Linked DNA regions of Alligator mississippiensis. The protein of the gene in region 3 purifies or fractionates together with the protein of the main gene of each other region. This does not show direct contact. Links are inferred from orthologs where the notes say so. Each region holds a gene or a part of one and is shown on either strand. Other genes may lie near its edges.

Evidence for each region.
Region 1: the proteins of FBXW7 (region 3) and FBXO45 purify together in Homo sapiens (affinity purification with mass spectrometry; 4 studies listed by BioGRID and IntAct, counting the BioPlex papers as one, with this or other methods). This does not show direct contact. The link is inferred for Alligator mississippiensis from reciprocal best matches to the Homo sapiens genes FBXW7 and FBXO45.
Region 2: the proteins of FBXW7 (region 3) and MTOR purify together in Homo sapiens (affinity purification with western blotting; 9 studies listed by BioGRID and IntAct, with this or other methods). This does not show direct contact. The link is inferred for Alligator mississippiensis from reciprocal best matches to the Homo sapiens genes FBXW7 and MTOR.
Region 4: the proteins of FBXW7 (region 3) and STYX purify together in Homo sapiens (affinity purification with western blotting; 4 studies listed by BioGRID and IntAct, with this or other methods). This does not show direct contact. The link is inferred for Alligator mississippiensis from reciprocal best matches to the Homo sapiens genes FBXW7 and STYX.

The regions. Positions count from the first base shown.
Region 1 is NC_081830.1:36,875,638-36,883,171, reverse strand, and holds the start of FBXO45 (F-box/SPRY domain-containing protein 1), read left to right. Parts: upstream 1-4,528; 5' UTR 4,529-4,581; coding exon 4,582-4,815; intron 4,816-6,273; coding exon 6,274-6,630; intron 6,631-7,534. Other genes in the region: WDR53 (WD repeat-containing protein 53), read right to left, coding at 2,061-2,540. UniProt on the Homo sapiens protein: Component of E3 ubiquitin ligase complex consisting of FBXO45, MYCBP2 and SKP1. Functions in substrate recognition but also plays an important role in assembly of the complex.
Region 2 is NC_081836.1:12,052,119-12,059,218, reverse strand, and holds the start of MTOR (serine/threonine-protein kinase mTOR), read left to right. Parts: upstream 1-4,083; 5' UTR 4,084-4,160; intron 4,161-4,189; exon of another isoform or gene 4,190-4,312; 5' UTR 4,313-4,351; coding exon 4,352-4,471; intron 4,472-4,643; coding exon 4,644-4,752; intron 4,753-6,024; coding exon 6,025-6,257; intron 6,258-6,626; coding exon 6,627-6,827; intron 6,828-7,100. Other genes in the region: UBIAD1 (ubiA prenyltransferase domain-containing protein 1), read right to left, coding at 3,130-3,679. UniProt on the Homo sapiens protein: Serine/threonine protein kinase which is a central regulator of cellular metabolism, growth and survival in response to hormones, growth factors, nutrients, energy and stress signals.
Region 3 is NC_081825.1:96,225,164-96,232,760, forward strand, and holds the start of FBXW7 (F-box/WD repeat-containing protein 7), read left to right. Parts: upstream 1-4,579; 5' UTR 4,580-4,921; intron 4,922-7,597. UniProt on the Homo sapiens protein: Substrate recognition component of a SCF (SKP1-CUL1-F-box protein) E3 ubiquitin-protein ligase complex which mediates the ubiquitination and subsequent proteasomal degradation of target proteins.
Region 4 is NC_081825.1:300,614,922-300,622,439, reverse strand, and holds the start of STYX (serine/threonine/tyrosine-interacting protein), read left to right. Parts: upstream 1-4,513; 5' UTR 4,514-4,595; coding exon 4,596-4,652; intron 4,653-7,518. Other genes in the region: PSMC6 (26S proteasome regulatory subunit 10B), read left to right, coding at 274-345, 1,359-1,477. UniProt on the Homo sapiens protein: Catalytically inactive phosphatase. Acts as a nuclear anchor for MAPK1/MAPK3 (ERK1/ERK2). Modulates cell-fate decisions and cell migration by spatiotemporal regulation of MAPK1/MAPK3 (ERK1/ERK2).

The DNA.
Region 1 (7,534 bases), on a different chromosome or scaffold from region 3:
TATGGAGATCTTTTCTGTAAGATTACACACTAAATTCCTCTTGCATGTCAGACTGCATTCAGATTGCACAGATCCTGCATCTCTTCCAAAACAGCTGGTGAAGGTCAGCTGCTAATTAAAACATCCTTAGTAAACAGAATTTTCTGCATCTAATGAAACAGTCTTGCTTTAGGATAGCTAAACATTTTGCTTTTTAGGGTGTGAAAGTGATGAAGAAATCACTCATGCTTTAGTAATCATCTGGGGAGCAGCAGCCATGACACACTGAACATCTTGCTTATAAACTGTGCAACTGAAAGAAAGTTTTAATGGTGACCAACAATAGGATTGAGAGTCATTTTAAAATTTTAATTCAGTTTGTGCTTACTTTCTTGGCTTTTGGTACCCTATTTCATTTGCTTTTCTCTCTGACATGGGGATAATGCCTATTTCACAGGGGTGCTGATTTTTTGTACAGCACACTGAATATGTGAAATAATGGAATAATGGAAAAGAGCATTTCAGTCTCTCACTACTTTACAAAATCCAGTAATACAAGTTTTTTCATATTAATTTCAGTGTGTTGAAGAAAAAAACAAATATCCCCATTTCATTTACATCCTTTGTAGCTTTGCGCTAGTGCATGAGAATTAAATGGAACTGACAATAGGTGCATGTAGCTTCACTAGGCAAGCTGAGTAAGAGAGAGAAAACAAGTTATTTTTAACTGGCATTAGACCCTTGAAGCACAACTTGCAAAACCACACACAAGGACTTTAGCTACATGGTTTCCATGATCAATCACACAGCGAACAACTCATATTTCACACACTGTTTACTGAAAGCATGAGGTGTTCTTAAGTTTCCATACAGTCACTACCAAAACACTGTATATTATGGTAATATGGTAAGGGATGATACCCGCAGGCAAGTGTGGTGTGAGATCATTTTTTTTTTTTAAGTGTGTTGCTTTTTTTTCTCTTTAAACACAGCACCACCAGAAAAAGCCCCATAACAACAAATATGCTTCCACATGAGAGCTCTGACTCCCTCCACAACCAATAAGTATTCCCTATGAGCCATCCAACAGAACTAATGCAATAGTTGGCTTTGGCTACTGCTCTAATGTCTGCATATGGTATTTACTATTCTCAGTCTAGCAGAACTGAAAGCATTAAACTCAATCTCTCAGGCTCATCACTGCACCACTGATGAACTGTCTTTATCAAACCCATTATTTTGTCATTAATAAACAGCACATCAATATCTATGAACTCCAATAGACAGAACTTCTACATTAGACTAGAAAAATGGTTCTCAACCTTTTTAGATTCAAGGCACCCCCACCCTGGCTTGTGGCACCCCTAACTAGACTAGGGGCACCCCTTGTAAAATGCCAGCTCTTAATTTTTATTTGTTTTTTTGACTACAGAAAAATACTGGGGCAATTCTTCCATTAGGAAGAACTCAGAGAAACCACAGATGAGAATGTTTTTGACACTACAGGGTCCTATCTTGTGAATCATGGTTGAACACCTGTGTGGCACCCTGTAGCACCCTTGAAAGTATTTCAAGGCACCTTAGGCTGCTGTAACACCCCAAGTTGAGAATCACTGGACTAGGAATCTCAAACTGTGGTCCATGAGGGGCTTAGTTGTTGCATGCTGTTCATTTCCATAAGCTAAAATGCATTGACACCCAAACTATACATTTCCCTATGGCTGTTCTAAACTGTCATTTAATTTTCTTACCAAACTCAGCAAAATGCAAACAAAATAGTTGTCCCCTTTTCCATGATAGCTATTGCTAATTTCAGGGGCACTATTTGTTCACAGATAGCCTTAAAATAGACCTCTAAAATAAGGGTTTGATCCTGAAAGCCCTGACCATAAAGGGCAATCCTTTACATCAGTGGAACTTCCATCATGATACAACCACATTAAGATTGCTAAAGAACCAGAAATTACTCTTACCACCCTAGAGTAAGAGAAAGGAGTGAGGTAGAATGAATATCTAATTGCATACCATTCAGCCAGTATTTAAAAATCTAGCAATCATCCATCTACTTCCATACAAATCACCTTCATGTCTAGTCCACATGACACAAGACTTTGAGGCCTCTGAGGTCGAAACGCAACAGAGGAGCAGATATTTGAATGTCTCCTGAGGGACCGGCTGACTTTCTTGTTTTCCAAGTCTATAATCTTGATTGCCCCAGAGTCATCAGCTGCAGCCAGGACACTGTCTGTGTCATTCACAGAAAGGCAATTGATCTCTTCCTCATTTACGTGGAAGCATTCAATAGGCCCCTTAAGGCACCTGACATCCAGCAAGCTAATGGTTTCCCCATGAGATGTGTATAGCCTACTTGGGCAGGTGGGAGAGAATGTTACACAGGTGATATCATCTGCTTTCTGAAGCTGTATCTGTCCCAATGGAATCCCTTCCTCATTCCAGATAGCAAGCTCGCCTGCCTCTGCTCCCGAAGCTATCAGCCCTTCTTTGTTCACATTCAAGCACAGTATAGAAGAGGAATGTCCATCGGTCCACTTGACTGCCATGATGCTTCAAGGGATTCTGTGAAAGAAGGACAGAGTTAGGCAGTTTTTCCTATTACAGTAGAAAGCTTATCAAAGTATGTAAGACTACTGGGTTGCTGATGAAATAACATGAGCATGTGAGCTGCTAGTCCAAGGTAAAATGGGCACTTGTGCAAGTTTGAGTGCAAGCACACCAGTCTGTATGCTTACAATACTGACTCCTTAGAACAGTGGAATGGTACATTGTTAGAAGTGCTTGTATACAAATTGTTGAACTACACCACCTTGTGCAGCTATCTAGATTAGGGGTTGGCAACCTACAGCCCATGGGCCAGCTCCTGCCCACAGAGCCATTTAATGAGATCTGCAGACGTGGGGCTTCAGAAACATTCAGTGGCAGGATGGCTCTGGCATCAGTTGCTCTCCCCTGCCTTGGTGGAAAAAAACAGTGGAGGTGTCCTAGCAGTTGCTCCTCTCTGACCTGAACAGTCAGTCCAGGCCAGAGGAGGTGACAGCTACAACCTGAAGCCTTAACGAATTCCTTTGACTATACAGTCACTAGATCACCAGTATTTGACTCACTGCAGTGTGAGAGTCTTTGCTATTTGGAACAAGAAGAGTGATTCAGGAGGCAGACTGATTGTAATCAAGTTTCTTTTCCTTTCTTTTCTTTTTTTTTTTTTTTTTAAATCATCCTCAATCTACATGAGGGGCTGGCAACATTTTTGGCCTGAGTGGCAAAAATACCTGCAACCTTGACTTGTAAGATGTTGGCGTGCTTGTGTGAATGGTGGGAGAGCTGCAAGGGGCCTGATCCTTATTGTGGCAGTGCAATCCTTGCCCTGGGGCATGCGTGCCAAATAAAATGGCTTCATATGCCATGTGGCACATGTGCCAGAGGTTGCCTACCCCTGATCCACACCATCAGCTTCACCTGGTTCTGCAGAGAAGCCCCCTACCAGGGAAAGCTAAATCAGGTGGCTTAGCAACTAACAATGTTGTCCGCAATTCCCAGATGTGAGAACAACCGCTATTGCGGCTCATCAGCGGCTTCAGGACTGGACTCAAGACCCATCCCACAGACATCACCGGTCTTTCCACAGGGGAGAGCGGGCTGGGATTCCTCTCCTTTCCCTTCCTCCGCTCTCTCCTTTGCTTCAAGGGCGAGACGTTCTGCCAAGAAGCAGGCGGCTGCATGACTGAGGCTGCAGCGCCCATGGGGTGGGTTGGCAGCTAGCTCCTCCCCACTCCCGTCGGCCCGGGAGTGCTTGGGCAGGACAGGAGGCGCCACCTGCCCGTGGGCAGGGCGGGGGTCGCTGCCCATAGCCCCAGGAGCGGTGCTTCGATTCTTCCCAGCTCGGGGCCGGCGGCGTCGCGCGGGGGCTGCACAACGGGTGGGAACGAGCGTCGAAGCCCGTTGGGCGGCCCCGCCCCAGCGCCTCCCGCACCTCCGACCGGCCAAGGCCGCAGGGGGGCAGGAGCCGCGCGGGAAACACGAACTCGAAGCTGTATTCCCTTCGCCTCTGTCCGTAAGGACCCCCCGCCCGCGCGGCCACGGCACGGGCACAACCGCGCAGACCAAAGCGGGGCCTTAGCTTTTCCCCTCCTTCGCAGAGATCTTGGGTCCCCCGCGCCGGACAACAAAGGGGAGGAATTACCTCCAACCACACCAACAACTCGGCATCCTCGCGTCTCTTCCGGCGCAGTTTGATGACGTAACCCGGGAAGGGAGGGCTTTTTTTCTCCCTTGCATTACCACCCGCGCGTTCCCTGCTGCGCATGCGCGCCCGGCTTCCTCTGACAGCTGTGCCCTCAAGTAAAATGGCGGCCCGCATCCTCGCCTCTCTCCTCCCGCCCAAGCAATGACAGCGGGGCCTGGGGCCGGGGGCAGGGGGAGGCGTCACGGCATGGCTGGCCCGCCGCTCTCGGAGTCGTGCTGGCAGTGAGAGGCAGCTTCTCCGTGGCTGGCGTGGGGCTCGCTTCCGCCCGCACTTTGCCGCCGGGCGGAGCGGGCGGGGGCTGCTGGCGCCGCCCGGAGGTGGGGGAGGGGCCGGCGCCGGCCATGGCGGCGGCGGGCGGCGCGGGCTGGCGGCTGCCGGGGCGGGTGCTGGAGCTAGTGTTCTCCTACCTGGAGCTGCGGGAGCTGCGCAGCTGCGCGCTGGTCTGCAAGCTGTGGCACCGCGTCCTGCACGGCGACGAGAACAGCGAGGTGTGGCGCAGCCTGGCCGCGCGCTGCCTGGCCGAGGAGGCGCTGCGCACCGACGTGCTCTGCAACGTGCCCACCTACAAGGGCAAGGTGAGCGGCGCCCGGCGCTCCCGCCTCGGGGTGGCAGCGGGGCAGCCCCCGCCCGGCTCCCTGGAGCAGGCTGCAGCGGCCCCCAGCGGGGCCGGCCGGGCAGCGCGCCCAGGGGTGGCCCTCGCCGCAAGTGGAGTCACTTGGAGACGCTGGTGGGGCACCTGCAATAGCCGGCAGGGGCAAGGTGAGCCCAGGCACCCTGGCTTTCACCGGCACCAGCCCTGCTCTGGGTTTGTGGGGGTGCTGGGAGCAGTGCACCCTGGGATGCTGGGGGTGGCAGCCTGCTCCTGTCTCTGGGGCAGACTGAAGGGGCCCTAACAGGAACTGCGAGGCCTTTGCCTCAAGTGGCGCTGCTTCGAGATGCTTGGAGGGCACTTATTGGTAGCAGATGAGGGCCAGGTGAGCCCCCGCACCCAGCTCCATGCTGGCACAGCTCTGACTGGCTGCTATGGGACAGGTGAGCAGGAGCATGCCCAGGTGCCTGGCCCCTGGGCTCTATCCCTGCTGTGAGTGGGGGGGTGCTGGGAGCAGTGCATCCTGGGATGCTGGAGGCCAGTAGCCTGCTTGCTTTGTATCTGTAGAGCCGACCTTAACTGGAGCTGGGGAGCATGGCCCAGAGTTAGCCTTTGCCTTAAGTGGTGTCACTTCAAGACTTTTGGAGGGGACCTAGCAATAGCTGGCAAGTTGTGACATGTAGACTCTGGTGTTTTCCCAGCCCTCAATGGGGTTGCCATGTAATGTGTCCCTTCGTCCTCATCGCCCATCTGGTGCTTGCAGATGATGTGAGCATTGGCTCACAGGAGTGTACACCTCTCTGATTTGGTTAGGCTGCAGACAGATGTCGCATGTATCCCAGGATAACCTGTTTTATCCTGGGACAAAGTCCAGTGTTCAGATGTCTGTCCATGACAAATCCTTAAAAAGGTTCACGGGATGAGAAGTAGTAATAGTTTATCCCAGGATATTGCCAAGTGTGTCTGAACAATTGTCCTGGGAGTTGCATTGTGGAATCAATGGCAGAAGAACAGTGGTACATTTGGCTGTTCCCTAAACCTTTATTAAAAGGGTGATGCATGTACATACAGTGCTTAGATATTTCTGTTTTGGGAGAAACACAGGTACGACTTGTCCAGGGACAAATGCAACGTCTGTTCCTAGCCTTGATCTGTAATTTGCATCTCTAGCCTGCCTTCTCTGTCCCTCAGCTCAGCTGCTCCTGATCTCAGAAGTCCAGGTGCACTCTGGTTCTCTGGCTTGTTTTGTATCTAGAGGCTTTGGGTAGCAAACCCATCTTCTCTACTTTCTTGTGTCATCACATGCAACCATGCTTTTTAAAAAACTATTGCTTGAAACTGAGTACAAATGTGCTGCAGGATGTTAATGAAACAATTGCATTCATGGTTTGTTCTCTCCAGTCCAAAAATTCTCTTCTCTCTCTCTCTCTCTCTCTTGTCTTAGGTACGTGCCTTTCATCATGCTTTCAGCACCAATGACTGCTCCAGGAACGTCTACATCAAGAAGAATGGGTTTACTTTGCACCGGAACCCCATTGCTCAGAGCACCGATGGGGCAAGGACCAAGATTGGCTTCAGTGAGGGTCGTCATGCATGGGAGGTTTGGTGGGAAGGCCCTCTTGGCACGGTAGCTGTAATTGGAATTGCCACAAAACGGGCTCCCATGCAATGTCAGGGTTACGTGGCGCTGCTGGGCAGTGACGACCAGAGCTGGGGTTGGAACCTGGTGGACAATAACTTGCTACATAATGGAGAGGTAAATGGCAGCTTCCCACAGTGCAATAATGCACCAAAGTACCAGGTGAGTGAGACTTGGAACCAGTCAGAAACTGCTGCATTTGTGGGCAGCTGTCCATCAAGAATAAGCCTGAGCACTGTTTTCAGTAGGGGTGCACGGATAGAGATTTTTGAGCCAATACTGATGACTGATTTTTAGCGAGCCATATTGACTGATTCCAACATTCAGCCAGGCAGCATGGAGAGCAGCGTCCAGCTGGTAAGTCTGTTGTGGGGGAAGGGGCATTGGGGGGGGGGGGCAGTTGGGCCCCTGTGGTGAGGAAGAAAAAAAGGGGCTGGGGCAAGGGCAGGCACTGCACTGCCGGGGTGGGGTGCAGGATGGAGCCGGGAGCGGCTTGTCTGGGATGTGTGGGGACGGGGTGGGGGGAAGGTGGCTTCCGCCACTGTACGTACTCCAGGAGGGCATGGGGGAGGTATGCCCTTGGATCTGCACATGGGGTGAGGGGAGCCTGGGGCTGGGGTGACACTGGGCTTTTCCCAGCAGCGGGCTAGGTTGGGCAGCCCGGCTCAATCTCCCCCTCACTGGGAAGAGCCTGACACAGCCCACACTCACCCCCTGTGCCCTTCTGGGGTGTGTGCAGCAGCGGGAGCCACCTTGTGCCCCCATGACGAGCCGCTCATGGCTCCATCCCACACCTCACCCTAGCTGGGCGGCACCTGCCCCGACCCAATCCTCTCCATTCCTCACTGCTGGGGCCTCTATCTTCCCCGTCCCCCTCAATGCTCTCTCCCCCTTCACTCACAACAGACTTACCAGCCAAACCCAGCTGCACTCCTTGCCACCTGTGTGCTGCGCCTGCACAGGGCATTTATTGGCCATGTTTTTGAGCACATCAGCCAAAAAAAGCCAGTTGCCTTTACTGTCACTTTTTTTTCCTTATATCAGTGCCAATCTGATATGGGACCAA
Region 2 (7,100 bases), on a different chromosome or scaffold from region 3:
CCTGGCACATATCTACAATGTCATCCCCCCCCCCCATACCCATCATTAACTCATGTACAAAACCTGGCTTTAACTTCTAAATTTACCTTTTCATTTGAAATTGGACCTGGCAAGTACATGAGGAAGAGTCAGTTAAAACATTCCAGGCTCTACCCGTGGAGAAGAGAACAGAGATCACAAGAACTGGAAGTATACATTTCAGCTGTGGCAGGCCAGTAGGGGGTGCTCCTGCGCCGAGCCACCCACCTCACTGCACCCAACCACCTTCCAGGCTCTGGGTGCCTCCCTGAGGGTGTCTCACGTCTGGCCGACCCCCTTCCTGGAGCATACCCGCTAGCCTGGGGGTAGAACTGCCACCACCCAGGGATGGGCTCGATTCAGGCTCTGCGCACTCTGGGAAACACAGGCCTAGTAGCCCGCGAGGGTACTTGACTCACTTCAAGAGCTTGGGGTGCTTCCCTCAGTCAGAAGCACAAGTAGTGGTCTCCCTTAGTCAGCCGAACCAAGGGGACCCCACAGCATAATCCAGACCCACTCCCAATAAGTGTCCCACACTAGGTACAAAGGAGAACTTTATTGGTTACAAGGGGTAGGGTTGGAATAGGGCACAGAGTTGAGTAGTATCAGAGAAATCCCATAGAGCAAACTCCTGTGGCCGGGGTAGCCTTTGATCTCGCATCCGAGTTACTGCAAGCTATACATCTAGTTAGATCTCAGGTAGCTTACAAGTATCATCCAGAGGCAGGTGGAGATTCCCTCTGGAGGCAGGCAGTTCCTTGATCATGAGTTTTGAGAGAGAGAGAACGAGCGAGCAAGTTTTAGATGGTCCAGCTCCTCTCTCTCTCCGAGTTTTCCTCATGGCTGCTGCCCTTCCTCCTAGGCAGTCCTTAACTTATATAGCCCTTGTGACCTCATTTACCTGGTCCAATGGAGGCCAGCACCTGTTGCCTGTCAGCCAACTAATGTGAAATGCATCACTAGTTGCTGGGCAGACTGGCAGGCTCTAGCTCACCAGGATGCCCAGGCCCTCACCCAGGTATGTGGTGCCAGTCACGTAGGCAGAGGGAGCAGGTTTCCACCCCTCCCTCAGGAATGTATCCATCTCAGGTTACCTAAAGAGATAGGGTAAGGTGTATATCCTCTGCTGGGCCCATCCTAACCAAATTGTCACAGAGCAGAGGTTTTGGGTAGAAACAGGAGGTGGCCTTCTGCCACATCAGCCACCGTTCATGCCCCAGGTTTGTGGTGAAAAGGGGTCAGAAGCCATAGGGAGGCACAACAGCCCTTCTTCAGAGCCACTCTCCAGAGTAACCACTAGGGAGGTACCAAAAGAGAATTTTTAGGCTGATACCGATGACCAATTTTTAACAGGCCATATCGGCCAATACTGATCCGATTCTCATATGCAGCCAGGCAGCATGGAGAGCAGCACCTGGCTGGTAAGTCTGTTGTGGGGGAAGAGGCAAGGGGGGAGCAAAGGGGTATGGGGGGCAGATTGAGGCCCCCACAATGAGGGAGGGAGTGGGGCTGGGGCAGGTGCTGCACAGCTGAGGCAGAGCAGGCGAGCACCCCAGGATGGCACAGGGGGGCGTGTGCTCCTGGATCTGCACACAGGGAGTGGGCAGGCTGCCACTATGGGCTGGGGCCAAGGCAGCCTTGGGGTCTGGGCCAGGCCGCATTCAGAGTGGGCAGTGGTGGCACTGGGAGGGGGCTCTGGGGTGGGGCTGCAGCCACCACAAAATTCACTGTAGCCCGCCCCCCAGGCACCGCTCCCAGCGTCGCCGCGGTCTGCCCCGAGTGCAGCCCAGCCCAGCCCCTCAAGGCTGCCCCAGCCCCAGCCCATAGTGGCAGCCTGCCTACTCACTGTGCACAAATCTGGGGGCACATGCCCCCATGCCCTCCCAGAGTGCACGCAGCAGCAGGACCTGCCCCCCCCACCTGGATGGGCTGCTCACGGCTCCACTCCACCCCAGCTGTGCAGCCCCTACCCCACTCCCTCCCTCACTGTAGGGGCCTCGATCTGCCCCCTCTCCCCCACAACAGACTTACCAGCCAGACCCGGCTGCTCTCCACGCTGCTGGACTGAGCTCTGGGCTGCCTGCGTGCTGCGCTGCAGCTGTGTGCGTGCACAGGGCATTTAATCGGTGGCATTATTGGCCACATCAGCCAAAAAAAGCCAATTGCCAATACTGTCAATTTTCCTTATATCAGTGCCAATCCGATATGGGACCGATGTATCGGTGCACTTCTAGTAAGCACTCAAATATCACATTCACTTCCTTAAAGTTTCAGCGCATAGTAATTTGTTTGTGAAGTGTAATCTGGGGCAGATCTGGAGGGGGTGGGGTGCTCTGGTGCCTGTTGCTTCCTGCTCCACCCGAAGTTTAAAACCAACTAACTGCCTGGCAGTGGCTGCAGCATTTCTAGGGAGACAAATAACTTCATAGCTCATTATAATCTACCCCGATCCCTACTAAAGTCCTCATTGCACAGTGTTAACCACCCTCTCTTTTTTATAGTCTTGATGTGCCACTACTGGAGCTAGCCTTCATCCTGCCATGCTGCTGCCCGTTTGCTGCTCCTGGTCCCGAAGCTCCTATTCCGCAGCCCTGCGGACTGTTTTTAACTCACTGCAATGGAATTATATTTGTTTTTGCTTCCGCCTTAAACCGAACAACCCAGCCCCAGGCCCCCACAGCCTATGAAGAAAGCTCCTAGCTCATCACGAACAGGAGAAAGACACGCGTGACATTACACGTGCACCACCAGCCCAATCTGGAATGGGGTTCCCAGGGAGGTGGTGCTCTCCCCTACCCTGGGGGTCTTCAAGAGGAGACCGGACAAGCACCTTGCCGGGGTCGTCTGACAGCAGCGCTCTTTCCTGCCCAGGGCAGGGGGTCGGACTCTGACCTACCAAGGTCCCTTCCGACCCACGCATCATGAACCTGCATCCCCGTTCAAAAGTCCCAACCCACCCACGTGTACAAGACGGCAGAGGCCGTGGCTTTAGGACAGCAGCAGACATGGAGGAGAGGCCGTCAGACCCCCCCCCCGAGCCGGCGAACGCCGCGAGCAGCCATCAGGACTCCTGCTGGTCCCAGGCCGGCACCCGCAATCCCCAGTCCTTACCGCCGGTGTAGAGGAAGGAGCTGGAGAGCCCGCCGAAGTAGATGAGGGCCAGGTGCTCCAGCCGCAGCGGGGACAAGAAGTAGAGGCCGGCGGCGCAGACGCAGCCCAGCGTGTAGAGGACGACGCCGAAGCGCACCACGTCGCGCGGCTCCAGGAGATGGTCCACCAGCGTGCGGTCGTCGCTCTTCTTGTGGTCGATGCCCTTGGAGAAGTCATAGTAGGTGTTCACCAGGTTGCCGGCCCCGTGCACGGCCAGCACGGCGCCGGCGCTGCCCACCAGGCGCGCGGGGTCCAGGGCGGCCTGGGCACGGTAGGCCAGGGCGCTGCCCAGCGCCACGGGCGTCAGCGAGGCGCTGAAGCTCCAGGGCCGCAGCGCCAGCACGTAGGCGGCGCACTTCTGCCTCCAGCCGCCCGGCGGGCCCCGCTCCGCGCCCGCCTCGCTCAGCTCCGCGCCGCCGCCGATGCTGATCCCCTCAGCGGGCTCCGCGGCGGCGGCAGAGGGGGGGGCCGGCAGGGGGCCCCGGCGGGGCGGTGCGGCGGGAGGCCGCATGGGGCTCAGCCTCACGGGGCGCGAAACCCGCCGCGCGCAGCACGGGTCATTACGGTAACGGCGCCCTTGGTCGGCCGCAGGCGGGGGGACACTTTCAGCAACGCACCCGGAAGCAGAGGGACGGGTGTCCCGCCCTGGCGTCCCCCGGCGGCTTCCTGCTTCCGCCTGGCCACCTTCCCCGGTAGGGGTGGGAGTGCGGCATTCTAGCCAATCACGCTGCTTCCGGCTCGCCACTGGCGGAGCCCCGTGTCAATCGGACCGCTTTTTTTTTTTTTTTTTTTTTTTTTGCTCCCGGATTGGTCAGCCCAGCTAGCCGGCTTGGGGGGCGGGGCTGCGCTCCCCTAGGAACCCCGCCTTCCTCCCCACTCCATTGGCGGCGGTGGCTGCCACTCCGATCTGCCTGGGCGCTGATTGGGTGGGTGCTGCTCGCCGGCCCGGCGGGTGGAGCCGGGGCCCGAGCGAGGGAGCCGGCGAGGAGGCGGTGAGTGCCCTCCTCCCCCTCCGCGGTCACCTGGCGACGCCCCGCGGCGCGGGGCCCTGTCATGCCGGCGGCTGGCGCTGCAAGGCTCCGGGCCCGGGTCTGTGCGGGAGCCCGTCCCCGCCGGTGCCAACGCCGCGGTTTTGTGTCCCAAGGCCCCGCTGCGCGGGACGCCCTGAGCCGCCCCCGCCGCCATGTCGGGCACCGTGTCCATCCTTCAGCAGTTCGCCAACGGCCTGAAGAGCCGCAGCGAGGAGACGCGGGCCAAAGCGGCCAAGGACTTGCAGCACTATGTCACCATGGAGCTGCGCGAGGTGTGGCGGCTCGCGGGGTCTGGGAGGCCCGGGACGGGGGTGGCGGGCGGGCGGGCGGGGCAGGGGAGGGGCAGGGAGAAGAAGCCGCCGCCTGTTTGGATCCTGGGAGGCCCCGGCATCGTTGCTGCCCGGGGGCGGCTCCGCCTGGGCCTGAACTCTCTTTCCTGCGCAGATGAGCCAGGAGGAGTCGACCCGCTTCTATGACCAGCTGAATCACCACATATTTGAGCTGGTCTCCAGCTCCGACACCAACGAGAAGAAGGGGGGCATCCTGGCGATAGGTGAGCGCAGGGATTCGGTGTCTCTGGGAGATTCGCTCTCCACTTCCCCGTGACGCAAACAAGCTGAAGACCTGGTGTCTCCACGCTGAGCGCTTGAGAACGTGGTCCTGCGTTGTTACGAAAATACGGGCCGCGATGCTCAGCTGCGTTAAGTGAGCATGGTGTGCAAATAGTCTGCGCTCCCTGTGGCCTGAGAGCAATAATCGTACCCGTTAAAACCCTTCGCTCGGTGGCAGCAGGGCCCACCTCCAAGGAGCTTTTGCATTTATTCCCGGTAGCATCTCCCCTGATTATTGCCCTGTTGAGCTTTTGTTCTTGTGTGGCAGAGCAGCCTAAACTTTGCAACTCCTGGGGATACAGATCAGGGGTTCCTGACCTTTTTATGCTGTGGACCGGTAAGCCACAGACCAGCAGTGATCGGCGTACTGCGGGCCAGCAGCCAACCCTTTCTTATCCTCGGTATAAAAACGGGTTGGTTGCCGGTCCACAGTATGCCGGTCACTTCGGGACTTCCAGTCTGGCAGCCAACCCTCCTGCGGACCAGCAACCAACCCTTCGCAGCCCGGGGGTTGGGAGCCCATGATACAGATAGATAACTCGTGTGAAAACAGTCCCTTCCAAATGGATCCCTCATTTCTGCACCATTTGCTTTTTAATAACTCCATAAAGCTTCTGGATTGAGTTAAGCATCATAACCAAACCAACCCCGGTGTGCTTAGAGATGATGGAGGTCGTTGAGGTGGAGTGATCTTTGTCAATGACATCTCACTTTAGGCAGACAGCATTACTTTAAAGTTACTTCTGTGACCTTAGTACTGGTGGAAGGTGCCAGCTTGACAACCCTGGATACTGATGGCTCCTCTCTGCTGCCACGCTGCCCCTGCCAATGTTCCTTAAGCCAGGCCTTGAGAGACCACCTCTTGAAAGAGTACAGTCTCCTCCATTCAGTCCTGGGTCCATTGTAGCCGTATATAGATGGAGGTGTGTTGGAATGGATCTGTGTTCCCAGGGTGGATCTTTATAAAGTAATACAAGGAAAATCTGACTTATGGAACCTTTTTGATGCATTTCTCTGTTTTACATAACAGATCCAAGCTTGGGAAGAATGCTGACCTTTCCTGCTGCTTAATGTTTCTGGTGGATTTGCAGTTTAGGAAGCGTTAGCAGGAATCTCTCCAGGCTGCCTAGAAAGAACTCTCTTCCAGGGATTTTGCTACTGTTTGCCACACTAACCCACTGGCAGGACTTAACCCATGCTCTCTTTCTCCCCAGCAAGTCTTATTGGTGTTGAGGGAGGCAATGCCACCCGCATCGGCAGGTTTGCCAACTACCTTCGGAACCTGCTCCCCTCCAATGACCCTGTTGTCATGGAGATGGCGTCCAAGGCTATCGGGCGCCTTGCCATGACGGGAGACACCTTCACAGCAGAATATGTGGAGTTTGAAGTGAAACGGGCTCTGGAGTGGCTGGGAGCTGATAGGAATGAAGGTCGAAGGCATGCGGCAGTAAGTGCTCTTCTGGCTTCTCAGCCTTCCTGGGAACAGGCTCATGAGTAGCAGTGATGAGAACTGTGCGAGGAAGGATGCAATGAGTGGGGAGAGGGTTGGAGGGAAGTCCTAGCTGGGGAGTGGAATGGCTATTCTTCCATTTCTGAAGAGCTACAGGATGGGCTAGTTGGTCTGCTGTTAATGGTATTTGTTCTGGTAGTGCTTAGGAACCGAGACTCAGATGCTCCTGTGCCAGGCACTGTAGAAACCCAGCAGCATGCTTCCCAAAGCTTACAGTATAACTAGGCAAGACAAATCAAGCATGTGGAAGTTTTCTTCTAAATTCCCACCTCTCCCTGACACCACCATTTTCCTTCCTGTCTCCAGGTTCTCGTCCTGCGTGAACTGGCCATCAGCGTGCCTACCTTCTTTTTCCAGCAAGTGCAGCCATTCTTTGATAATATCTTTGTGGCTGTATGGGACCCCAAACAGGCCATCCGAGAGGGAGCTGTCTCTGCCTTACGTGCCTGCCTCATCCTCACCACCCAGCGGGAGCCAAAAGAGATGCAGAAGCCCCAGTGGTACAGAGTAAGGAAGGAGTTCCTTCCACTTTAAATAGCTTTCTTCTCTGTGTCAGCACACAAGATCTGGCCTAAGCTAAGGCGGTTAGGTGTTGGCTCCTCTCAGTCATGATTAAAAATATTCTGGCCTTGGGATCAACCAGTAGAAAAGGAACGGGTCGCATACACCGAAGTTTTATTGTGCTTTTTGCAACTTGTTGCCAGCCCTTTGATTTAGTCTATCCTAGCAATCAGACTGTTCTCAACAGAGCAGGTGATCAGACTGACCTGTGTCTCCCAC
Region 3 (7,597 bases):
GCTGCCAGTCAGGAAGCCTTAACAGTGACCAACTGGTTACTCAGTTGTAGGAGGGCTCTCAGATACAGCCTCTGGCAGGTTTGGCCAGCTAGGCAATTAAGCCAGGCTGTGCTGCCTCTGATGCTGGAGAAGCTCTGTGTGGAAGCCAGTTTATCTCTGTGTCTCAGTTTTCCCATCTGTAAAATGGTGATCAGGATACTGACCTCCTTTGTCAAGTACTTTGAGAACCACTTGTGAAAGCTGGATACTATTATTAAGACAAGGCATAGCCAATACCTTACTGCACATCCTGGAGACCTAACCAACTGCTCTTGTATCTTCCTAGTGTTTCCCTCAGATCAGGCCCTGGATATTTTAATACTGTATGCAGGATCCCTCTGGATTTTGGATAATTTAATCCCTAAAACATTGTAATTATAAACCACTGTGACCATTGTGGTTTATGGTCTTCACAGCTGCAGACAAAATATGCAGGGTTTTAAATGCCCTTGGATGGTAAAGTTCCTGGAAGAATAGCCAAGTTTTCCTGGGCTTAACATTTCACTGCCTGGGGAAGAAACACTTCAGCTAAAGACATCTACTTTTTTATGGAGGCTGCATGGGATAGTAGAGATATGAGGATGGATTTAAGACTGTGTGGAGTATCTTAGTGCTGCATTTCTATACTTTTTACCTTTTTACCTTCTACATTTGAATTTAATGGCTTTTAGATCTATTTTTATCCAAGCTTAGTGACCCTGCCTATTATTAAGATTGTCTGATGCTATCCTTTAGAACATAGAGGAGTCTAGTAGGCAAGGGAGAAACTGGTGAGGAAAATTAAGGGAGAACAAAAGCCTGAAGTGAAACTGTGATCAGATGAAGTGCCAAGGGTCTGGCTTGGCTAAAAGACTAGGACTAGGGGGAGTGTAATAGTGGAGAAGAAACAGATCTGACAAGGAGAGAGAGTTGGGATTGGAGGAAGAAAAAATAGCTTCTTGTAGTTAAGAAAGAAAACTACCCCAGAGAATATTTTAGCCATGCTTCTACTACAGAGATCCTTTGTAAAGTACTTTCTTTTTGAAGAAGTAACTCAAACCAAACTTATTATAGATGGTTAGTAATTATGCATCCCTCATTTTCTGAGCTGGATGGGCCTGACTTGCAGTGCTGAGCACTGGCTTCTACATTTGAACTCAATAGGTCACTGTTTTGGAGTATATAAAGTGATATATAATGCCAAGTTCTCTGAACAACCAGCATTTTAGATTAGGCACCCAAAATTAGTGAGCGTTTTTACCCATCTCTCTGCCTCAGCTCCTCATCTGTAAAATGAGGATAATAACAACTCCGGTATCTCACACAAGTTTTGAGAAGATAAATGTATTAATGTTTGTGAAGCTCTTGGCTGCCATTGGAATAGCTTATAAAAAAACAAAGCAGTACATCCCTGTCTCTGTATGTCAAAGCAAGCGGTGTTTTAAAGGCCTAAGTCTTGGTCCACTGACCAACCCTCTCCCTTTATCCAAGCCATGAACTGGTGCTGTTTTGCATGGGACTGTTATCTAAATTTTTACGTAAGTTGTACCCTGGGGACACTCCTAGAGATGTACTCTGTTCAAGTAGGAGAAAACTGAAATGCTTAATATAGAACAAATACATATGAAGAAAAATTGACAGGTAAGTCACCAGTGCAGTCCACCACAGGCAAGGATATGGGACGTGGACCCAAGACTGAAAATTATCCTGATGGCAGTAAGACATTTGTACACCTGTCAGGGAAAATGACACCGCCAGATTCTTGCTGAGACTCATCACGGGAGTGGGAATGGGAAGGGAAGCTGGCACCTGAAGAGAGTGGGAACTAGGGCTAATTGAACACGGAGACCAAGACAAAGATGAATAGCCTGAAAAGTAGAGATGTGCCACTTGAGAAGCTAGAGCGCATGAGAGAGGGACTGGTGCTGTACGAAGGTTTGGCCATATTTGATCATTGGAAGATATTCATAGAACGAGGACCCTTCTTGATAAATGGAAGCCATCTGAATTCCTGTATGTGCAAGTTAATCACAGGATAACTACAAGCCACTAACAGCTTGTAGTTACAGCTATGAACAAAGCAAATGCAAGCCTAAAATGTATAGATTAGGTATTCCAGTAGAGACTGGGTTGTATTAACTGGACAAGAAAGCTCAGGTGTTTCTGCATGGCACTGCAGTGCATTGTCATCCCACAAAAGGAGAAGTCTAAGAAAACAGAAGAAACTTCTGTGGTGCTCAACCTTTTCTCCCTGCAGCCTGGATGGGCAGCACCTAGTTTGACTGTGGGCCAGGTCTGGCCAGTAGTCCTGATCCAGTGCCCAAGGCAGGCATGGCAGGCACCATTCAGCTACATGGAGGAGATGGAAGGGGCAGGTTGGCTCCAACTCACCCCTGCAGGAGAAAGAAGCTTGATTTGGCCCCACTGGGGGAGGAAGTGTGGCCCAGCCTTAGCCTAGCACTAAGGGAGGGGCCCTGACTAGGCCCAAACCCAGCCCGGGTGGAAGTAACCATGCCTTGCCCCAACCTGGCCCCAGGGGTGTGTGTGGCCCAGCTCAACCTAGAAGTGGGGGGAGGGAGTATGGAATACCAGGGGTACACCTGGGCTCTGACCAGACATGAGAGGCTTGGGTTTGGGGAATTTGGCAGGGGGCAGGGTGGCCATCTCTCTCTTGCTGCCAAATTTCTGGACCTATGGGGAGTCCCATGGGCCAGATGAGATGGCTCTGTAGGCCATATTTGGTACGCAGGCCAGTGGTTAGGACTCCTAGTTCATAATGCTGATACTTGCATCCCTGTTTTAGAAAAATTCAGATGAAAAAGCAAGGAGATGACAGGTTTGAAAATGCATTGGCTAACATTTAACCTCTATAATCATTGGTACTTTTTTTTCCCCTTACATGTGGTTAAAGTTCTTGTTAATTTCACTAGTGATTTCAAAATAAGAGCAATTGCATAGCATTTAGACTGATGTAGAAGCACGAGAGAATACGAGATTTAAATTTAAAAGAAGCATACTTATGTAGATACACAGTAAACACAATTATGTTGGACATAAAAGCAAGAGGATTCAGGCACTGGTCCTGCTTTCCATCTTCTGTCTACAAAGAGCACCTGGAGCTCTCAAAAGAACTTTTCTTTAGGACCCTAAAAACTAGAGACAGACACAGCATATAACCCAAAATGACTTTCCAGAAACATTGCAGCCTAAGTCAGCCAAGGCCTAGTTGCCAATAGCTATCCTGCTGGCATGAGAAGATGACAAGGGTGCTTTTTCAGTCTCTGAAGCAACCCAAGCTAGGGTGGGAGACCAGCAGTACTTGTTTCCTCTGTGATCTGATGTTGACTGTTGATGGTAAAAACTTGTGGTAGGAAACCAAATGTTTTCACCACAATTGCAGAGGAAAGGGAGGTTGATATCAATGTGCTTTATGAGCAGAGCTGAAATTCTGGGTTAAAAGGAACTGCTGTATGGTTCTGTAGAGGGCACGGATGAAATAATCTTCTTTCCCCTTTTTCTTTTCTGTTGCTGATTAGTAGCGAGCTGGATGCTTCCATTGACAAAAAACATAACACCAGCACCACAGGCTTCCAGTGGCAATTGTGAAAGACAGTTGCCTGGCATCTCCCATTTAGTGACACGCCAGACCAGGGCATTACCAAGAGTGGCAACTACCAGCCTGTTCCACTGCATCAAGCACTGGGGGCCACACTTCCTTTTTGGCAGGTGTGCAAACTGGCCCCACCACTCCTTGAGTACCACTCTAACCCCCGCGCCTTTCCCTTGCCTATGGGGGTGCTCTGCTTTCTGCTCCCTGCCTCACCTGCTGCCCTGCTTTCTGCTGCTCTGCTTTCTCCTCCATATAGTGCTCTGCTCCCTGCTAATCTGTCGCTGGGTTCCCTGTCCCCTCCGGGGTCTGCTGCACGCACAGGCTGCCCATGCCTCCGGCGGCTGGCAGTATGCTGCAGGTTGGCCGCTCCCCATTATAAACTAGGGAGCAGATTTGGCTTGCGTTTCCAAGAGCAGGTGAAGGGGGAGCCAAGGGCGGGAGTAGAAGGCAACCTCTTACAGCATTCTCCTGCCCACGAGCAGCGGTCCCGCTTGCCCCTCGCAAAGCCCGTCCTGCTGCCCCCTCCTTTCCCCTTCCCCCGCTCTGCGGCGCGCACCGCGACCCGGAGACCCCCGCCGCCCCGACCCCTGTAAAGACCCCCGGGGGGCGGGACAGGGCGCTAAGCCATTATGCCTGCCTCTAGGGAGCAGCCCTGCTCCGCGTCACGAGACGACTTGCCCCTCAGTCAATCACAGCGGCAACCCAGTGCCGTAGCAGCATTCAAAGCCCAAGCCCCGCCCACTGCTTCTACTCGGCGAGGGCGGGGCTCCGCTTCCTTCGTCACCGCCCCTTTGTCCCGGCCTGAACCAACCCCGCCGGCGGCGCTTCCCCCCTCCCTGACGTCATCGACCCGCGCCCCCGGCCGGGGGTGTGGCCTGTTGCCATAGTGACCAGCTGTCATCTCCGTGCGCCGCGGCTCCCTTCCCCCTCCCCCCCAGCAACCAGCTCTCCCTGCCGTCCCCACCCCCGCCGGAGCCTCCCCCCGGGGCTTGCCCCGCGCCGCGGCTCACCCATGCCAGAGCGCGGCGCGGCGGCGGTGCCTCGCCCGGCCGCCCCCGGGGCCCCGCGGGGCCCCTAGCAGCGCCCCGCGCCTCCGCCCGCCTCAGCGTGCATGAGCGGGGGCCGCGGCCCGGCCCCGCCGCCGCCTCCTCCTGCCCGGTCCGGCCCGGCGGCGGCTCCATGTGAAGGCCCCCCCCTCCCCGCCGGGGCACCCCGCGCCCCCGGCCCCGGCCCGGCGGGGGGAGGCTCCCGCGGCCCCGCCACGGCGAAGGAAGCAGCCGCGCGGCCCCTGACGTGAGTAAACGCCGGGCGCGGGGGAGCACGTGGGTGCGGCGGGGCCGTTGGGGGCAGCGCCCCGCCCCGCCGTCGGGGCCGGCTGTCCCGGGTCTTTGTCGAGGCAACAAAGAGCTGCCCCTTCGCAGCCAGCCGCGGGGCCGGCCCCCTCGTGGCCCGCGGGGCGGGGGAGTGCCAGCCCCCTCTTGGCTCGGCCCCTCTCAGGGAAAGACCCCTGTCCCCTGCCGGAGCCAGCGGTGGCTCTTCCATGGGTTGCCTGAGCTGGGGGTGCGGAGGTGGCCTGGGCTGGGGGGCTTCTGAAATCCTTTGAGGTCAAACCGGCTCCAGACGGGCAGTGCTTTCCTGCCTAGGAGCGTATGGGCAATGGGAAAGCCTGGCCCTCGGTGCTTTCTGCCTAGGAGCGTGTGGGCAATGCTTCTGTGCCGCCCTGATGCGGGGAGTTGAGTGTTGCCTTCGTAACTTTCCTTGTTTCTGGGAGGACCAAGGAACTTGAACTCAAATCATCGCCCCCTTCCCTGCTGATCCGAGCACCCATGGGGATAGGTGGCATCTTGCCATGCTTAATTTATGCATCTTCAGAAAAAGCAGCGTGGGTTAGTTCAGTCTGACAGTAACATTTCTCAATCAGGTGCTGCAGCACCTTGGGGCGCCTGGAGATCTTTACCAAGGTGCCACATGGTGCTAGCATGGCGAGGCGTGCACTCATGATGCACGTGATGGCTTCAGAGATTTCAAACAGGCATTCGGAGCATTACAAATGCTTTGCCCGTTCAGGCTTTCTGGGTTCTCAGCTTTAGTCTTTTTCTGTTGCCAGAAAACCAAGGGAAAGCTAAGAGCTGGCATTTTCTGAGAGGGGCTTCTAGTCTTACTGAGAGGTGCCTCAAGTTTTTAAAAAAGTTGAGGACAATTGCTGTAGCATCCTTGGCCAGCAGCTGTTGGCGAGTTACAGCAGTCAGGCGTTATCCCACCACACAGGCTCTGAATAATTTAAAATCTTTGCAGGTTGCGTTTTACATTTGAGCGTTTGGTTTGTGCGCGCTGGGTGTGTTGTAAGGTTGTGGCCAAATTAAGTGTGGTTCTAGCGCTTTGATTTACATGGTAGGCACTTCAGAAGTATTGGCTCTGATGTAGTGCGGGAGTTTGTATAATTTTCATTATGAGTATTTTTTCCATACAGAAATCTAGAAAAGTATGATAGCAAACTCTAGCTAGGTAATTTCCCCTTGCTTGATATTTTCAATGAATGGCATAGAAGGTCAACAGTTGACACACTTCTATCTAAATTCTGGTATCAGCTAGGAATATTTTAATTGAAAGACCTTGTTCCCTGTCTCCTGCCCGTATGTTTGCTGCATACATTTGGCAGCAGGTAGAGTCAGTTTCCCAAGTTTGTTTATAGCCATTTTTTCACTGGGAAGGAGTTGGAATCTAAATCCCATTGATTTCTTTTTTCTCCTTGGGTGGTTCTGTTTGTTTTCAGACTCTTATGATTTAAAGGGCAATAACGTATGCAGAGACAACCAGATTACACGTGTTAATTGCACGCCAAGCTTGTAGAACCAGACTTTGAAATAGATTGTATAACCTCCAAAGTGGTTAGGCAGGAAGAAGTAGAAAAGGTACCTGAAACTTTAAAAATCCTTTCAAGTCAATCAGCTTGAGACAGGCAGCGCTTTCTTGAACAGGAGTATGCGTACAACACTCCTGTGCATCCCATATGCAGTGCATTGAGTGTTGCCTTCATAACATTCCTTGCTTCTGTGAGCACTGAGGAACTTGAACTCACTTTACCACTCCAATTCCCTGCCATTCCTGGCATCCATAGGGATAGGTGGCATCTTGCCACATTTAATTTATATATGTTTAGAAAAAGCAGTGTGGGATATTTCAATCTGACCATAATATTTCACCGTTCTCTTAACACAGTAGCTTTTTGTCACATCTTGACTCCAAATTAAATGTATTTTTCCCTTCCTGTTGCTGTTCCCCTTCCATTTTGCAATAGCCACTGTTCTTTGTATACTAAAAAAGTTATGTTCCTACCTGTTAGAGCCATTTTTACAGTATTGTAGGTGTTCAGTATAGATCACCTTGTGAAAGCAATTCATATTTGCTGTTTAAAATGGAATAACGCTATTTTTTTATATTTGCATTACCCTCTTTGTTCTCAGTGTGACCAGTGAGTCTCATCTTATTCATTATTACATTGTTGTTGGGTAGAAACCCAAACTGAGAGAAAAATACTTAAACATCTTATAAAAAAAAATTGAGCTCCATTCATGGTAGCTATTACAAACTATTTCCTTCCTCCCCAAACTGAAAATAACTTGCATTTCTTCTTGGGTAGTCAAATTTTACATTACCCATGGCAGACACTCACTGTTTTTTTTGGGGGGGGATAGTGTTTACATGTTCATTCTTCTAAATAGAATGTCAGAAAATGTAGGGTACAGGAGGACTCCTTTTGGGCCTACCATCCTCTTTACACAGAGGGGCACTGTTGCCAGTCTGGCTTTATAAAAGAAACTTGAAATAACACATGACTTGTCTGAAGTATCTGGACTGTAATTAGTCTGATACTTGAGCTTGTTGACTCTTGCTCTTAAGACCATGCAACTCTGAACTGATTTTGCATATACACCATTAGCATACCTGATATCAAAACCAAATCCTTAA
Region 4 (7,518 bases), about 200 Mb from region 3:
TGCATTTAATTTTGAACCACATATATGGAAATTAGTAACTTTTAAACATAACTGCATTGAGTATTATTGACTGATACGTTTGTATATTCCTGGGGGGAATATCATAGCTAGCAAAAGCAATCAAATGAAATTCAATCTAGCTCAGAACCGTTTTAATTTGCACTAAAAATTATGGTAGAATGTTCAAGGCTTTTTTGTTTCATTTTGAAGTTCTATTTTAATGGAAAACAATCTTGTTCATTATTCTAGTTAATTGTCACTTTTCATGAATAGATTATGAAGCAATTGTGAAGCTTTCAGATGGCTTTAATGGAGCAGATTTAAGAAATGTCTGTACTGAAGCAGGTAAGGAAGAGGCTCTTAGCTTATTTGTCTCTCTATTTGATGTGCTGAGTCTGGGCACAGATATTAAACATTCATGACCTGTTTGTCTGATCTGATTCTAGCACTACAGGCAAACGAGATTCTGAAACATTCTTTCATGATCATGTTCACTGATGTGAAGCTAGTTCATTCTTGTACATGACAGTGCTGATTAAACTTGCGATCCACCTATGTTTACAGTTATCAAACTTGGTTAATATGATAGTCCTTAGTGTTTGCAGTACTATGAAATTAACTATTAAAAGAAAAAATGTTTGATACTTGGAACAGTAGTAGTTTGGTATTGTCTAGACTCCCGATAAGAGACCCATATGTTCCCATGAAGTTTAGGTATAGAGAGAAGTTTCCTGAAACTAGGTGGAACATGTCTGAAAAAGGTTAAAGAGAATCTGTTTTTAATTTCTTTACGACTCAGAGTTATTTCAGTCATGCCAAAAATGTGACTCTTTAGAATCTTCTCCGTGGTGTTCATGTTTTCTCCACTTCAGGCTTGTCTACATGGGGAAAATGGAGTTCTACAACTAATGTTATGAATAATTATTCTGCTATAATTGTATTCTGTCAGTATTGCTCCTATGCAGAAACATTATTCCAGAATAAATGTTCTGTTTCAAAACTTATGCTCGAGTTGGATGCATTAGAACACCAGTTGGTTACTCACTGAATCTACATACAGATTATGCAATACAACTTTGGTCCTTTCTGTGTGTTAATAACATAGTGCTAATAACTTTTTAAAACGACTGTTCTGCATTAGGCAGGCAAGGTTCCTTTGGTAGATGTGATATCTTCTCTTTGACCAACTGAGTAGTTGGAACGTTCTTTGCAAGCTTTTCAGCACAAGTACCCTTCTTCAGGCATAGGGAGACTTGTTGTTCTGAGATCTCCGAGGAACGAAAGAATGTGCTGTATTATTGTTGCAAGTCACAGTAATTCTATAGATATCTCACAATTCCTCAAATTCTTTTCCGCAGGTATGTTTGCAATTCGTGCTGATCATGATTTTGTAGTTCAGGAAGACTTCATGAAGGCTGTAAGGAAAGTGGCTGACTCTAAGAAGCTGGAGTCAAAGCTGGACTACAAACCTGTTTAACTTAATCATACACTTCATAATTGACTGCATGGGAAATATCAGTGTATAAAAGGAGAGAAATAACGTACCTCTTGGCTATGATCTTATTGCAGGTTTCTGTATAACACAGTAAGTTAGTAGTGTGTTTTCTGTACAGTTCTGAAACGTAACTTTTGTTGCAGCGCAAGTTAAGTAAGGAGATGTTCTACTAAAAATTACTGTGTGACTGTATAAACATACCTACATAGTTTAACTTTAGCAGATTTTAAGAAAGTCAGTGCAATCTTGACTTATTTTATATCAGTACATTTTCCTTTCCCAGAACAAATGAATAAAATTTTGTTTAAAGTAACTCTGTCCTTCCTATGTACCTCCTCTATACTTCTTATCAGAAAAATCAAATAACAGCTCTTTGGGCACATAAAGTGCAGCTTTTCTCTGCAAGTGATCATGTCTGTCCCCATATAAGTATGGTTTTTTTTTAACAACCTATGCAAAAATCACTAGAGGTCAATTCATCAGATGTAACATACCAAGAAACAGATCAAGAAATGTAATTTGCTATTTTATTGTGTAGCAATTTCATGCTGCCTGGTCATGCAGAACAGGAATAGATACTATGTTAGTATTTCACTGCTGAAAAATGGGGGGAAAGTACTCATTAGAACTAAAACTTAATTTATCACTTAATTATCTACTTAATGTTTATAGCCTGATTTCAGTCCGCAGAACTGGTTACAAATGTCCATATGTGCTCAGGGGAAAGTGCCAGAATACCACACCAAAAAGATAACACATGTAGTCAAAAGCCATTTTAATAACAAAGAAAATATTACAGTCTTTCAAAAAACATTGGACTCAGTTTCCTGTCAATCTGATCAAATATTAATTTCTAAAATATGCCAGATGGAAAGGTGTGTTCAGTACTCCTTCAAGGCCTGAATACTGGTCTGTAGTGCGTTGCTGGAGTGTAACTGAGGCCAGAATTTGGCCTAGTGCCTGTTGTCGCCACATAAACTAGAAAATGGCTACTGCAGTGGCTAACTTAAGTTATTCTTCAAACACAATAAAATAGTTCTGACTTGGAAACCAAGGTGTTCTTCCTCTTCGGGCTATGTGTCACGCTGCATTGATGTTTAAATTCTTCCTGCACCTGGAAACATGTTTGCTATGGCTTGCATTTTAACTGTACCTAAAGGTTAAAAGGAAGCATTCCAGAAGCAATGTTTGGGTGAATTTTTTATTTTTTTTATGTGTAGACCCTATTTATTGCTACTTCTAACTGTTCCAACTGGATTATTCTCTGCAGGTTCAGCTAACAAGCAAGTGTGTTTTTAGCTAGTTCTAGAAATTACCAAAAGCCACCCTATATTATTTCTGTCTTAACAATGCAGTAATTTGGAATGAATTATAGTGATGCCTCTGTTAGTTCTACAAAGGAATTCCCAGTTGAAACAGTATTACAGTGCACAGGCAATTTTTTTTCTGTAGTGTACAAGCCAAAGGTTGTCATTTTACCAAAATAAAAAGGGCATGCATGTTCATCAATGTAGGAGGAAGAAACAGGCTATTCACCTGGTGTATATTGTCAGGGGTGTGAAATGTGAATTTCAGTCATAGGGTTTCCCCATAAAATCACTTTAAATAGGGCTAAAAATCAGTATGCATTATTAACTACTACTGTTGCAGAAGCTGTGTTCTGTGTTCAGTGTAATAAAGATTTAGAAAGTTCAGTAATATTGAATGTTACTAGACAGTTGAATGTATTAAAATTGTGTTGAATGTACTGCATTAATTTGGAGACAGCAAACGGAGGAACTGACTCCTGTCTCCTTACGAAGAGTTGTCTGCCTCTTGCAGGTTAGGGGTCTCTGCAGCCGTAAGAGACCGGGTAAGATGCTATGATCCCTAGTGACTTCCTGCCCCCGGGGCCGGGGGGCCGGACTCGCTCTTCCGAGGTCCCTTCCAGCCCTAATGTCTATGAAATCGATGTGGAAGTAATGGATTCAAGTTGCAGCAAGGGAGCTGTAGGTTGTACATGAGGAAGAATTTTTCTAAGTATGAGGAACGTATTACCAAAGCTGTGGACATTTGGTCAGTGGGCCACAGTGCAGGGTAGATGGACCTCTTGCCTGGGACGGTTTATACTGTGATTGATGCTCCTGCCTCAAAAAGGGGGTTGGGCTTGATCGGTGTTTCCTGGGCGGGTCGCGCACAACCCAAAAGCGGGTCGCAAGAATTTGCAAAAGGGTTGCGAACAAACTTTTAAAAGTGGATTTTCCCTTAAAGGAGAACATGGGAAACCGTAGCCTTTCCCTTAGCTTTCCGTGCCCCACATGTACTCGGGGCCTGAGGGCGAGAGGCACTGGGTCGGGACCCACCATCGATGTTCCCACATGGGTCGAGAGCCGCCGGGTTACGCGAGCCCCCGAGGGCCCTTCCAGCTCTAGTTTTCCCAAGACCCCGAGCAGCGGACAAGGGTTTTGTTGCGCAAAGCAGTCGAGAAAAACGGAACAAAGCTCTGCCTTGCCCAAAGAGCTTGCAATCCAAGACGAGATAAATGGATACCAACATTTCTGGGCAACGGATTCACAGAGACCGCCTGGACCAGCGTGTTACAGCTGCCAAGACACGCGAATTTGAGACGTGTGGATGCGCAGCAAGGGCTGCGGGTGAGACGGGAACGGCCTGGATGCGAGCCCTATAGACGGGGAGGAGCCACCCCTCGGTGCCAGCCGGGCCAGAGCGGGGGACGTCCGTCGCCATCGGAGCGCGGCTTGAGCTCGAGACGGGAGCCGGTCTTCCGTGAGAGGAAGGCCCGGCCCCAGAGAAGTGGACAGCAAGGCGGAAGCTAGGCGTGCGGCAAGGCCGGAGGCACCATCATCCCGCGCAACCCAGCCGAGCACGTGGCCGCACGCAGCGCACCGCCGCTTCCGGGCGAGGCCCCGCCCCTCGCCCGTGACGCTACGGCCCCGCCCCTTCCCAGCGGGCTGGCGCGGCGGTTGCGGGGGGCGTGGCCGGAACGGCGGTTGCGGGGGGCGTGGCCGGCGCGGCGGGCGCGAGGCGGGGGGGAAGCAGCATGGCGGCCGGGCGCGCGGCGCCTCCCCCGGGCCCGCTGCCCGCATAGCCGCCCCCGGCCATGGAGCTGGCCCGGCCCGCCTTCCCCGCGCTGCCGCGGCCCCGCGACGACTCCGAGGTGAGTGGGCCCCCCCGTGGGTTCCCTGGGGGGTTCCCCCCCCCTTGTCACGCAGGCAAGTGCCGGCTGTCCGCGCTCCAGGGCCGAGCCCGGTGGCGCTCCTCGGCCGCGTGTGTGACAGCGCCCGCGCCCTCCCTCCCTGTGCAGTGCTGAGCACTTCACCGCTGGTCGCTTGGCTGCGCCGCGCGGCACTGCTTGTTGCGCTGCGTCGCGCCCGCCGGACGCTCGTGAATGGGTTTGCACCTGAACTCAAGGTATACGCTGTGGTTCTGGCCCCCCGCCGCGCGGCTGTCTGCTGAAAGCCGTCCCGCCTCGAGCGCGCTCGCTCGCTCGCTCGCCGCACGCTCGTCACTGGCACGGTTTTCAAAACCGACATCGCTCCCCGTGTCACCGCTGCGCAGTGAAAACCCCACATCCTAAATCCTTTTTTCTCCTCGCTCCTTCTCTTCACTTTTTCCGTGCGTGCGGTGCCGACGGGAAGGAAACGCCCGAGCTGCAGAGAAGCGTTCAGGAGCAGGGTCCAGAATGACTTGTTAGACCGAAAGACACCATTTCTGTCCGTCCTGTTTTACTAAGCTTAGTTTTCTTTTTACCAAACTTTGTATTTTTGTGCTTGACTAAAGCATCCTTTCAGCGCCCCGTTTGCAGGAGGGCCGAGGGGCCGCGGTATGTGGACTTAACGCTCGTTTTAAAAACATTTCAAGCGAATAAGTTGAGGAACAAACCTAAAACCCCTAAGTTGGCGTGCAGACCGGTGTGCACGGGATGTGTTAGAAATCGGTGAATTGAGAAAAATGGAGAGTGGCTCGGTGGCAGCGGAGATGTCACCTTTTGTGCAGCGCTGTGAGAAGGCAGAGTAGCGCGGAGCTGAGATTCCCGTATCCTGGGCATCTTGGGGTGGATTGAGGGACTTCAAAGGAGTGTCCTGTTTGGGGAAAGGATGCTTTCCTCAAATTCCTGTTTCGGATAGGCAGTCAGGACTTGCAGTACTACGGTGCCGTGTGGCTGCAGCCTGGATACCCGTTTCTGGTAGGAGCACCAGGATCGTCCCTTGTGGTCGCAGTGGATCCTGCCTTCTGCAAAGTGAAAGCGTCGCCCTTTCATTTCTCTGAGCCAGGTAGTCTTCGAGAGTGCTGTAAAAACGAGCAGGCCAAGTTTCTGGTCAGGTTACTTTTTGTTTGGGGCGGTTGTCAGAGATCCAAGAAACCCTTCTTTAAGGCCAACTGTTATGGCTGCTGACCTTGGCTAGAGGTATTTTCGCTGGGAGCAATTCACTGCCCCCTTTAATCAGCCGTGAGGGTTATATTAGAAGATAAAAGGGACACGGTTACCGGCTGAGAAGAGGAAAGGGATTGAGCGTGCCTGAGTTTGCTGTCTTGTCAGAAATCAATGGACTGGAGCTCCTAATTGGCTTTTCCAGGTGAGCAGTAAAGCTCGCTTTTAGTGAAATAGCTCTCATTTTCTAATTTAAATTAGTGTTCATGCAAATGAGGAGCTAAATCCCCATCTTGAGGTAGGCATAGTACAGAGAGGTGCTCTGCACGCTTCTGCCGGTGGGTGTCAGCCCGGGTGTGCATCGCCACCCCGTTCCACCCGGGTACACGGACAGCGGTCGCACCCAGTGGTGCAGCTTTGTGACTTGAGCTAATAGGGTCTTGCGTGAAACCACCTTTGCCGTTTTCACTTGTAATCTGATTAACATTTGAACCAGTCTTTCCAGTTGATCATGCTGCTACGTGGGTTCCTCAACAGGAAGTATTTTTCTTTATTGTGTACACTGTAATGCGCAGTGATGTATATGCCACAGTTTAGTAGGTATATCTAGTAGGTGTGCTGGATGCATGGGAGCAATAATCAGCATTTCTTCATTTGTATTGATGTATAATGTAACATGTCAACGGTTTCTGAATAATATTGATTATACATGCTCCAAAATGATTTTTAGAATTAAACTCAACGCTTTTTAAAAAATAATAAAACAAGTATTTAGCCTAGATCCTGTAATATTTTTTATCGCATTCTGTTAAAATATCAGAAGGTCCATAAAAGGAAAAATTGAGCTAGCAATCACTTATGCTTACTTACCTTAAAGGAATATTGACTAGTAGCTTAGGTCAGAAGTTTGTCCTGCCTTAAATGTGATACTTATTGCTCTAAATTTTGAGCACTTACTATATCTTACTCAATTTTGAGCACTTACTTAATCCTTCTGTTCAGATACTGAGGAGCTAAATAAAATAGTCGTAATTTAGGGGTGTAAAAATAATTTTTCTTTTTGGCTGGGCAAAAGCTCTCCCTTGCTTCAGTCCAATCAGCATTTTTCGATGTCATTTGTTTTTTTTTTTTTGTTGGGTTTTGTTGTTGTTTTTTTTTGCTGAAAGAAAAGTAACCACTTCTGAAGCTTGTCACCTTTAATGAAAGCTGATCAGTGGAAATGAAGGGCTGGGTTAGGCATGATTCAGAAAAATGGGGTGGAGGCAGAGGAGGACTCCGTTATCCCTTTTGCTCAGTTCCTTCCTCTGGGTGTGTCTACACCAGCTGTTTACTGCATTGTTGACTAATTAACTGCAGTAAATGTTTCAGCATCTACATGTGCACCCCTGTTAGGGCACACAAAACGAATAAACTCTGCATCAGGCTAGCACTTGCAAATACAAGCACTGCCCTGCTGCGGGTTCTTCCGTGTGCAATGGTGCACGTGTAGACATCGACCTGGATGACTGGGGCACAAAGGTGCTTATAGTGCAGGAGCTGCCTGGTGGCTAGCCTGGCGCTGAAGAGCCCTCACGCCCCAGCCAGCCCTTCCGCAGCGCGATGAGCCCAGTTGGAGCGTGGCAGGCTGACCTCCCCCAGGCTCCCTGCCAGC